2 linked regions of the Schizosaccharomyces pombe genome follow. The gene in region 2 interacts genetically with the main gene of each other region. Each region holds a gene or a part of one and is shown on either strand. Other genes may lie near its edges. The genes, in order: abc2 and SPOM_SPAC29A4.02C.

What was found.
Region 1: mutations in SPOM_SPAC29A4.02C (region 2) and abc2 together harm fitness less than expected from each alone (positive genetic interaction), as found in Schizosaccharomyces pombe (one large-scale study listed by BioGRID).

The regions. Positions count from the first base shown.
Region 1 is NC_003424.3:2,836,600-2,843,957, forward strand, and holds abc2 (vacuolar phytochelatin and glutathione S-conjugate ABC family transmembrane transporter Abc2), read right to left. Parts: upstream 5,190-7,358; 5' UTR 5,106-5,189; coding exon 669-5,105; 3' UTR 522-668; downstream 1-521. Other genes in the region: SPOM_SPAC3F10.12C (transcription factor), read right to left, coding at 5,718-6,323. UniProt on the Schizosaccharomyces pombe protein: Involved in vacuolar sequestration of glutathione S-conjugates. Together with abc4, required for accumulation of a red pigment (ade pigment) in the vacuole of a mutant affected in the adenine biosynthetic pathway.
Region 2 is NC_003424.3:5,141,607-5,146,083, forward strand, and holds SPOM_SPAC29A4.02C (translation elongation factor EF-1 gamma subunit), read left to right. Parts: upstream 1-2,196; 5' UTR 2,197-2,211; coding exon 2,212-2,428; intron 2,429-2,526; exon of another isoform or gene 2,527-2,600; intron 2,601-2,721; coding exon 2,722-3,734; 3' UTR 3,735-3,909; downstream 3,910-4,477. Other genes in the region: pseudouridylate synthase Cbf5, read left to right, coding at 1-225. UniProt on the Schizosaccharomyces pombe protein: Probably plays a role in anchoring the complex to other cellular components.

The sequences.
Region 1 (7,358 bases), 2.3 Mb from region 2:
AAATCGTGTTTGTATCCTTTGAGAAAAGGACATCAAAAGGAATTCGCGATTTTCTCTTAAACTTTAATACAGTGCTTATCATTGATTTTAACTACATAATAATAGAGTTTCATTTCATTCTATAATGAGATAACTATAGTAGGTTACGAAAAAAAAAGTAGCCAAATTAAATCTGATGAAGTGAATATTGGCATAAAAAGAAGGAAAAAATCGGTAACAACTCTTCCTAACTTTTTTTTCTAAAATCAACGGATAAATGATATCAAAGCGGCAAAACGTTAGGCTCCAATATAAATGTCAAAAGGTGTAAGAAACAAAAAAGAAAGATTTTTTTAGGAAACTTTGCAGAACTTATATATCCTTTGAAAAGAAAAAATCTTCAATCATATATAGTTAATAAATCTTCCTTTTCAACAAAAGGTTATCTTGTAAGTGAGCAGCGTGCATGCTTTTTTCGAAACAGAGATATGCTGAATACAAGGGAAGAAAAAATATAACATGATTCGGATAAATTGTCTTTTAGCAAGTTGAGAAAAAATAGTATATAAATTACCAAGAAACCAGTAACTTGTAAATCTAACAAAATGAGAATTTGCTTAGGAATAACAGTTTCGGGATTTTCATAAAATTAATTAGAAGCATTTTAAATTAGCAAACGACCTGTGAACTCAAATAAGTCCACTCTCTTTTGCGAGGGAATAAAACAAAGATGCTTTATTTTCCAGCAGCTTTTTCGTTGAATCAAATTCGACTACCTTACCATGATCCAATACTAATATACGATTCGAATCCATCACAGTATTAATACGGTGAGCAATGGTCAAAATGGTACGATCGTTAAAGCGTTCACGAATTGTGCGTTGCACAATAGCATCTGTTTCAACATCAACAGCTGCAGTAGCTTCATCTAATAATAATACGCGTGTGGGTGTCAATAATGCCCTTGTCAAGCACATCAGCTGGCGTTGGCCTGACGAAAGATTGGCTCCTCCTTCTGTAACACGGGAATACAACCCGCCGTCAAGAGTCTGGATGAATTGTTTTAAGGAAGCAGCTTCGAGAGCATGCCAAATCTCTTCATCGGTAGCATTAGCATTAGGATCGAGATTCTCACGAATTGTACCTTCGAAAGCTTGATTTTCTTGTGGGATAATAGCAAGTCTGGAGCGTAAATCGTGTAATCCAATCGAAGTAATATTGATATCATCCAATTGTATGTCTCCTGATGTTGGCTCAATTAATCTAAACAATGCAAGCGTCAAAGTCGACTTTCCTGCTCCTGTACGACCGACAATACCAATCTTTTCTTGTGGTTTAATGTTAACACTTATATCGTTTAGGACTAGTGGAAGATTTTCACGATATCTGACACTGTAGTGATCAAATTTAATTGCACCATGGGAAGGCCATCCTTCTGGAGGACGATGATCTGGAATAATGGAGGGTGCCTCACTTGGAAGACCAATGTATTCCAGCATTCGTTCGACTGAAACAATGTTTGTTTCTACATCAACAGACTGTCTTACGACAAAGGTTAAACTTTGGGTAATCTGTACGGCATAAGACAACGAAAGACCCACTAAACCAGAATTAGGATTTCCACGGACTGCGGAGAGAACTCCAAAAAATGCAGATGAAAATACCACCAAAGCGCCTATTGCTTCAACACGAATTGCCTGCCATCTATTTGAACTGAAGTACAAGAACCAAATTCGGTGATTGGTATCAACACGAATATCGTTCTCCGAGATAAATGTATCTTCCATGTCATAAGCACGAATAGTTGACAACCCACCCAAAGACTCTTGGAAATGAGCATATAAAGGACTGCGAGTAACGCTATCAAGCCTTTTTAGCTCTCGAGAAGTTTGAGTATAATAAACTTGATTGTAACGATACAGAAAGAATAATGGAACAATTAGGATCATAAACATAGGAGAAGAATAGCAAATAACTGCTAGTACGAAAACTATTTGAAAGAGATTTCTGAAGAAAAACATAAAAACTCTAGAAATAACTTCGTCCACACGGTAAACATCGCTGGAAAATCGGTTTAATATTCGACCAGTTGGCGTGGTTTCAAAAAAGCTCATGGGAGCACGCAAAACCGCCTTTACCATTGAATCATGTAGATAACGACAGCTTTTAATAGCACAAAACACGGTAATGGTTAAGCTGCTAAGAGAAATCAATGCACAAGAAAGAAGACCAAACAATGTGTATATACCCAAGTAAAAGTATGGTTTAGGATTATAACCTAATTGTGTATTTACCTCACTCCAATGTTTAAGCCAAACATTAGTACCAACATTCATACCAATACCACCAATAATGAAAAGGAAATACAAGAAGATTAAAAACAAAGAGCACGCTTTAAAGTACGTCCAGTATACTTTCCACTTTACCTTACCACGTTCCATTTTCTCAGCAGCTTGTCCAGTAGCTTTGACATTGTCCTCGTCGGTTAACCTTTTACGGATCCTACCTGTTCCTTTTATGGTGGCCTTTGGATAATTGCTAACTGTGTCAGAAGAACGGCTAGCTGAACTCGTGACATCGGTAGAAGAAGTAATTACAGATTGAGAACGGGAGAGAGGAGTATCGGCTCCAGTAGATGATGCGGTATCCTTCTTGCTAAATTCCGAAAGTAATTGAAACAATTGGGAGTCTGGCGAAGAAGATAATTGAGTGAAGCTTCCACTCTCTATTATTTTACCATTTCTTAACATATAAATCATGCTGGCTTCTTTTAAAACGGTTAAGGAGTTAGTTGAAAGAATAACGCATCGTGATCTGAGTAAACCTTTTGAACCTAAAAGATTCCTAACTAAATCTCTATTAACATGCTGGTCAACAGCAGATAAAATGTCATCAAGAAGATAAATATCTGAGCGAGAATAAACAGCACGAGCAAGAGAAATACGTGCCTTCTGACCTCCAGATAAAGATATACCTTTCTCGCCAACTTCCGTTTGATCTCCATCAGCAAGTATCTCAAAATCACGCAACAAACAACAAGCACGAATGGTTTTTTCATAAAACTCAGGATCCAGTTCAAGGCCAAAGAGGATATTCTCCTGAATAGTAGCATTCAAAATCCAGGGTTGCTGAGCTGCATACGCGATGGAACCACAGCGGAACACGGAGCCAGAATGCTTCTGCATGTTGCCCAAACAAGCTTCAAGCAAAGATGATTTACCCATTCCAACTTTACCAACTATGCAACATAGCTCACCCCTTCTAGCCACAAAATCAATATCACGTAAAGTAGGTTCTGCGGCATTTTGTCCAGGACCGGACCAACTAAATGTACCCTTTTTAATTTCTAAACAAACTCCGGATGGTTCTTTGTTAGCTGGGTAGCGTTGAACAGCGTTGGAGTCCAATTCACCTGCAGTGAGAAACCCATAGATACGAGAAATAGCAACAGATGCCTCTAAAACTGAACTGACAACAATAGGCAACATGGTTAACGGAAATTGTAACAAATTGAAAAGACTCAAACAAGCAAAGACTATATCAACTGAAAGCACACGTGTCTTTCCATACAGAACAATGAAAGTACCAAACGTTGCGGCTGATACAAGAATAGGAGCAAAAAGCCAGGTAAAGTTGCCAATAGTGTTGACAATTCCAATCTTTTTCAACATGCGCAATTCTCTGGTATTCCTTAACTGCAGCAATTTTTGAAGGAATATGTTTTCCCAAGCATACAACTTAATGCTGCGAATATTGTTAATAATTTCAGTCATAAACTGAGAACGTGCGTCTTTATTTTTCATTTGTCTATTTTGAAACCTTTTAAAGATACTTGCAATCACAACATTACAAGGAAATAGTAAGAATGTCACAAAAGCCCCAGAGAGCGCACCGTATCCTACAAGATGGTACAAATTTGTGAGAGCTAGTACAATTTGGAAAGGACCCGATACAATAACAAACAAAAACATAGTTAAATCACAAACTTTTTGAGTGTCGACAGACATGTAATTTACGATATCTCCAACAGATCGACTTTGACGAGCCGCACTTGAGAGACGTAAGGATTTGCGATAGATAGCAGTAATCAATTCGGACCTCCATCTCATGCCAAGTACCATGCCAAGTTGGAAATATTGTTGTAACAATGCGGTTTGTACGACGTTGGTTAAAAACATAGCGATTGCAAGACTGAAACCTACTTGAGGAGGTTGTGGATGCTCAGAAGAATAGGAGCTAACAAAAATAACAATCTTCCTAATTAAATTTGGCTGAATAAACGCTACAACGTCTTGCACCAACTTCAAAACGATAATAACAACGGTAAGCTTCCAATGGTTTAAAAACAAAACACCCCACATGTAAAGACTACTTTTTTTCTTTTTTGCATGGGAAATCCAATTCTTTTCAAAAACAATAGTCAGATTGCTGGAACGTTCGGCAGGAGGAAGAGACCAAGCATCTGATTCAGTAAGATAATTTCTGTAACCAAACTTCATAAGAGGGCTAAGCCAACCAAATGATATCCTTGAAAAAATGTTGGCATAGGTAAACCGAGATGGTCTTAATCCAGTCTCTTCCAACTCAGCTGCATCATCGGGATACCAAACTCGGTTGGCAGGAGGCACGTAGATTTCAGCTAGAAGGCATACCAATGAGCAAAAAAAAGTAATGGAGGGAACTACGTTAAGCATAGGGAACATTGTATAATTAGGACGAAGTAATAAAACCAGAGCCGAGGCTAAAAACTTAAAAAGCCAAAACATCAACAAAGAGGCCATAGGTATTCGCAACGTAGGCTGCTCCACAACATGCAAAAACAAAGCAAGAAAATAAGTTATAATGCTTAATACATTCCATACACTTTCATTCGTTTTATAACAGTCATAAATATGGGTGAAAAGGAGAACCATAATAACTAAAGACTTCAGCCATATTGTCCAAAATCTTCGAAAATGAAAATAATGAGACCTTTTTCTAACCTCATAGAAGTACTGCAGACATCCACTGATAAGAAGGTAAATGTTTGGAGCAAGCCAAGTTGCCGATAGAAATGTGAATCCTTTGTAAGCAGAATTCATCCAATTTCCACCTACAAAAGGATCTAAATCCTGTTCAAGAACCATTTTGATAATACAGTATTAAACTGATTCAAATTCCCTGAAACAGTTATTTCCTGCGAATGTAACAAAACCTGAAGAGTGTTGGCTGAAGATAAGTGGCTTACAAAGTATAAATTTGTGGTGGTATGAATGAACATGTTCGTAATACATTTCGATTCAGTAACTAACAACAAAATATTACTAAATTTTTATGAGCAACTAGATATATTAATGGAATCCCTTAATATATTTTAATCTATCTAATGAGTTTATAATTTCATCGTTGAATTGACTAACCTTTCACAAAACGAATCTACATATTAAATATGGTTTTGACAGTTATGATTTTTAATCTAATGATATTCACTGTAAACAAATGTTTCTTAAACCTTTAAAAACAAGTTTTACAGTCATGGTAACTTCAAAGCAATTTCTAATCAGATTAAATTCAGATTCTAAATTACTATGCAATGTAAGTTGAAAATAAAATATGTATATAAGTTAAAAGTATTGTAAACCATATAGTTAGACTATAAACGTGGACCTCAAGGGAAAGTAGGATCAAAGTAAATGGAAATATATAAAAAAATGCAAAAAATGATAGGGAAATAATTGCATTAGAAAAGGAGAGTTATTTTACGATTCACTATTCTCTTCTACATCAAGTTCTGAATCAAAACTCCTAGCAGCTTGCTTCCAAAGCTCAACACTGCGCCATGCACGTTCGCATTCCGATTTTAACCGTGCGTTCTCCCTAGCTAGTTCTTGAATAGTATGATCAGCAACAAGTTTCTCCAAATTTGATTTTTCACGACACATTTCCTCCATTTCTTTAAGGGATCGAATATATTGAGCAGTCCTTTGAAGGATACTACCTTTATTTTTCTCACATCCAGGAACGATGTTCGCCAACTCTTTAATTCCCTCACTTATGGCTTCTCTTCTTCTACGCTCTACTTCTTTGTGACTTAATCTTTTAGCTTTATACCATTCCTCGCTTCCAACACATGGTTTTTCCATAGTCGTATTACCACTAGAAGCTACCGTTGAAGTCGTGGAATTTTTATGGGCTGTATTTTTCTTGGGAAAATCAATCTTTTCAGAGGGATAAGGATTATAACTAACGGCATGAGCATAAAAATCGTTATAAACTATGTCATTAGTAAAACCTGTGAGTTGTTCGACTTGTCCTGGTCCTGATAAAGGAGGAAGCAGATGATTTATGGACATATCTCTTTGCATTTTCTAGCCGAATTTATTATCTCATAAAACAAAGAAAATTTCTATAATAGAAATGAATTTTTTACAAGCATGAAGATAATGTAATGATTGAAGTGTTACCGCTGATGAATCCAGCCAATGTATTTGAACACTTTCGTAGTAAACCAGCAATGTAATGATAAGGGAGAATGAACAGTCTAGTAAAGAGATGAAAACACAAGGTAGTTTATGAGTACATATAGTAGCTTGACAAGAGTATCTTGATAAATGGGATTCTAAGGATAAATAGATAAAAGGTTTCTGAAGACTGGAAGTTTAAAAAAATTCCAAAACGTTAGATATGTAAAACAGGAATAAAAAAAATAAATATAGAATAAACGATGATTGTGCTTAAAGGCTGTCCAAAATTAAAGCGTTGATTTTCGCATCAACTCAAATTAAAAAAATTAAAACGAACTGCTATCAGTCGCAAAGGGTGAAACAGGTGTTCAATTAGTTCAAAGAACTTTTTCCTGTTCTTTCTAATGGAATGTTTAAAAATAATGTTGCAAAATGATAGTGGTAATCAAAGGCACTTCACGGATCCCTAACATTGACAAGCGTGATAAAATATTGCACTCTTAATTACCAAACTTAAAAGAAGAGTAGCAAATGTATTTTAAAAAGCACTTAAATGTTCAAATAGCTCAAAAAAGCAATTCACATCAAACTTTTAACATGAAGCGAGGTTCATTGTTGATAAAACACGTCTGTAAACCGCGTTGATATTACTAAGTAGAATCACTTAAGGAAGGGCTACGCTGCCCTCGTTTAATTAAAAACAACGCATTTACCAAACCTACTTTATTTTTATTTAGTGTCAGCTACGCAGTTTGATATCTATTTAACGATATGCAAAACTGCGTTGAGTTTTCCTTCTGACTACTATATTGCAACACACAGGTAATATTTGTAGCATCTGAGTTAGGTATTCTATTATGTAGGTTATATTTGTTATCTATCACTAATGTAATTTATAACTGAACCTCGTTTCTCATTTCATCTATGTCCCTTTAT
Region 2 (4,477 bases):
GTTGCAAAGCCTGCTCCAGTTGTTGCGCCTGCAGCACCTACTGTTGAAGCTGAAGTCAATGGAGTCGAAGACAGCAAGAAGCGCAAATCGGTAGAATCATCTGAGAAGGATGAGGATGAAGCTGCTAAGAAAGAGGAAAAACGGCGGAAAAAGGAAGCTAAGAAGGAGAAGAAGGAAAAGAAGGAGAAAAAAGAAAAAAAGGAGAAGAAGAAGAAGTCTGAGTAAAATGCCCTAAATATCGTTCGTTTCTTCTACTGAATTTGGTCATTTTACAGTTTGGGTTTGTTATAAAGGGTTTTAAGCACAAAATCCCTTATTCCGAGATCCTATAAGTTTTTGAGATACCGTTTGAGGGTTAAGAAAGAAAGCGAAGTTTCAACCTTTTGCTTTTTTGACTTGTTGTTTTGGATATTAGCTTGTGAAAACTTAAATAATTTATCGCTATAGCCCTAATGACAATTACAATGCACATCCGCAGTTTCCTTAGAATTAAGCATGATTGTTTGATATTTAGCAATTCACTTTGTTTCCGATAGAAAGCGCATTGTCTTCGGCATTTGGATAATAATATTATCTTTTCTTTGAAAAGAATATGTTTATACTGTTTTCCTTTTAGTATTTTAGTATGTATATATTTGATCAAATTAATGTACTTAGATTGGTAATATGTGTATCTGAGCTTATTCCTCGTTATAGTATGTTAGGTACGAAGGCACTATAATGCCACACAGATTCTCGTGGACGACCATCTCGAAGCCATTGGATTTGGCTAAGTTCAGCTATTCCGTTGATCGTTTGCAATGTTTAGGTCACTGGCAAAGTTAAGATGCTTTGCCAGTTCGTTGGGATTATCTTCGCATAAAAATATCAAAAGTGTACCGTTGATTCGAAATATCCATTATATTCCTGATAATCCCTCTTATTTTACGCAAAACGCTAGGTTTAATGAAATCTATTTGCATTTGGAAAACATCCTTAAGTTTGCACCTAAAATCATAGCTGCTGAGGAAGACGTTCCGAAGTAAAGTGGAAAACGTTAGAGCAGTATCAAAAAGAGTTTTCTGATCCCAAAACAACTAAAGTTGGCTATCGAAAAATTACTCGTTTACTTAATGAATTAAACGAAATTGTTCCTGAGTATCGTACTGAAGCAGTGCAAAAAGCGCTTGAGAAGTTTATTCGCCCAGACATTGTCGTGAAAACCACATTAAAAAGCCAAATGCTTGATGAAAATGGAATGAGTATTACCAAAGGAAAAAGGAAATCGAGCAAAGCTACTGTAAAGATGCTTCCGGGAACCGGAAAATTTTATGTGAATGGGAGTCCATTTGATGTCTACTTTCAAAGAATGGTTCATCGAAAACACGCTGTTTATCCACTTGCGGCCTGCAATCGCTTAACAAATTACAATGTTTGGGCTACAGTCCATGGAGGCGGCCCAACTGGACAGTCTGGTGCTGTTCACGCTGCTATCTCGAAGTCTCTCATACTTCAAGAGCCTTCGTTGAAGCAGGTCATTAAAGACACGCACTGTGTTTTGAATGACAAACGGAAAGTCGAACGTAAGAAAACAGGTCAACCTAAAGCAAGGAAGAAATACACATGGGTCAAGCGTTAATTTATCTTTGTTTTTACAGATGTACGAATTAATCTATCTTTTTTATACAAAAGTTACACTTATCTGTCAGTCATTTCAAAAGTTCAGCATAAAATCTGATATTCTTATATAAGAATGCAAGTTATACGAGTTTCGGTCATTTCGTCTTCTACTACACAGCGAGGAAAAAACTTATGAGTTACTACTCTAATGTCATTAATACAATTTTTTTACAACTTTTTACAGTATATTTCAGAATAATGTTGATCTACCCTTTGCCATGAAATTTTGTATATGCACGCTTCTTCAAGCATTAGATCTGGATTAAACATATAAAATCTCAAAACAGAACCTGCTAACCAGAATAATTAAGGAAAGAATTTTAAGGTGACACAATGCATTTCTGATTTCTTCTAGTCGTTTCATTGAAAAGTAGAGCCCCTTTTTCATATTTATTTATGTATTGTTCTTATTTACTTTTCTAGTGTTTAGTTTGTTAACCAGAACAATCGGGTTGCCAGGACAACAACATTTTTTGTCCAATTTGAGCTCGTTATTTGTACATAAAATTTCAGGCCCTTTACAATTCTTTCTCTCCCAACATCTTAGTAGCTATGTCTGTAGGAACCGTTTACGGAAAAATTGGCTCTCCTCGCGTCCTTTTCTGTGTCAGCGTTGCCGCAGTCGCAGGTGTCGAGGTCGAACATGTTGATGTTCAACCTCACAACTTCCCTGCTGATCTCGCTGCGAAGTTCCCTTTGCAAAAGATGCCCGTCTTTGTTGGAAAGGATGGATTCCCTTTGTCTGAGACCCTTGCCATCGCTTTTTACTGTAAGTAGCAAAATCCTGTAAACTCCATGTTGACGATAATATCGTATGGTGCTTCGAACTTCTTCAGAGAGTAGTCAATGTTACGGTACTTTGTAACTTTGTATGATGATACTATTTTTTTTTACAGTTATCCCTGTCTAAAGCATAGTGTTGAGAATGGTAAATCTGAATAATCTTGTTAATATGAAGAAAGGAAAAAGCCCACGATATTAATTTATCCAAATAGATTTTTTGAATAACGAAATAATTTCTTTTGTTGATCATTGACCTGTTTTACTAATTGTCAATTTTAGTGGCATCTCTCAACAAGACTCGTGCTTTGAACGGTACTACTGCCGAAGAGAAGGCTAAAGTCCTCCAATACTGTTCTTTTACCAACAGTGAGCTCCCTGGCGCCTTTCGCCCTATAATTGCTCCCCGTGTCTTTGGCGCTCCCTATGATGAGCAAGCTGCTAAGGAAGCTGAAACTGCCATTGCTTTGATTTTCGCCCGTTTTGATGAGGAATTGGCTTCTAAGACCTACTTGGTTGGTTCTCGTCTTACTTTGGCTGATATCTTCTTTACATGCTTCTTGAAGTTCGGTGCTACCTACGTTCTTACCAAGTCTTATTTGGCCAAGTACACCCATATTTATCGTTATTACCAAACCATATACCACCAAGCTAAGTTGGATGCCATTACTGAACCTCTTAAATTTATTGACCAACCTCTTCCTATTATAAAGGCTGAGAATAAGGAGGCTGCTCCTGCTAAGAAGGCCGAAAAGAAGAAGGATGAGAAGAAGAAGAATGCTCCCAAACCTCAAGCCGAGGCTCCCGCTAAGCCCCCCAAGCACCCCCTTGCTTCTGCTCCTAATGGATCTTTTGACATCGAAGAGTACAAGCGTGTCTACAGTAACCAAGACACTCGTAGTGGAGCTCTTCCTTGGTTCTTTGAGCACTTTGATCCCGAGAACTACTCCGTTTGGAAGGTTGATTACAGCTACCCCGAAGATTTGAAGCAACCAGTCTTCATGACCAACAATCTTATTGGTGGTTTCTTCCAACGTTTAGAAGCTTCTCGTAAGTACATCTTTGGATGCTGCGTAGTTATTGGCGAGAACGGTGACAACACCATTACTGGTGCTTTTGTCATTAAGGGACATGACTATGTTCCTGCTTTTGATGTTGCTCCAGATTGGGGATCTTATACCTTCACCAAGCTCGACATTAACAAGCCCGAGGACAAGGCTTTCATTGAAGACGCTTGGGCCTGGGACAAGCCTATTGAGGGACGTGAGGTCGCTGACGGCAAGGTCTGCAAGTAAAAATGTTTGGGTGAAATGGATAAGGTAGGTTTGTTGGGAAGGCAATCCCTATTGTTTATTGATAATTCCAAGATTGAGTTTGTTTTAGCCTTAGAAAATGATTGATTTTACATTTCAAAAAGAGTAGACATTGTGTATGTTTGCTTATTTTTTGAATTCCTCCCTTTTTTTTCAATTCTCAAATGTGTATAAGGTTTGCTATTTGTGAAAAATCGTTAGCTCGCTTTATTGTAAATAAAGTCCACGTATGTTTGACCATAGTAGTATTCGTTTCCAAAGCAGTTCTTGGAATTTTAGTAGACGGCTAGGCGATTGTTTGTACATGCATTGCAAAGTGCACCACCCATCGTCAGCAATATTTGCAGTCGTTCTTGATATTTCCAGCTAAAGCATAACTGCATCAATATATCAGTCGGTTAGATACATGTAGCGTCTACCATGCACAGAAGCAGTTGATCTGCAAATCCGACCAATATCAAGTTATGGGCTAAGTGAAAATTACAAACTCAAAGGTGAGCACAAGTGAAGCAAATGAAACCAAGCTAGTCGATGCAAGTGAAGTTCATTTCTTTTCTTTGCACAAGAATTGATTTTGCGTAAAAATAACGATCTCACTGCTACACAATGAACCTGTCTTTTTACGAAGTTTGCGGCTACAGCGTTCCAATCAGCGGTGAAATAATTCACCCAAAAAGATGCAATTTTTAGCGTAGTGATTGAATATGAGAAATCGACGTTTACAT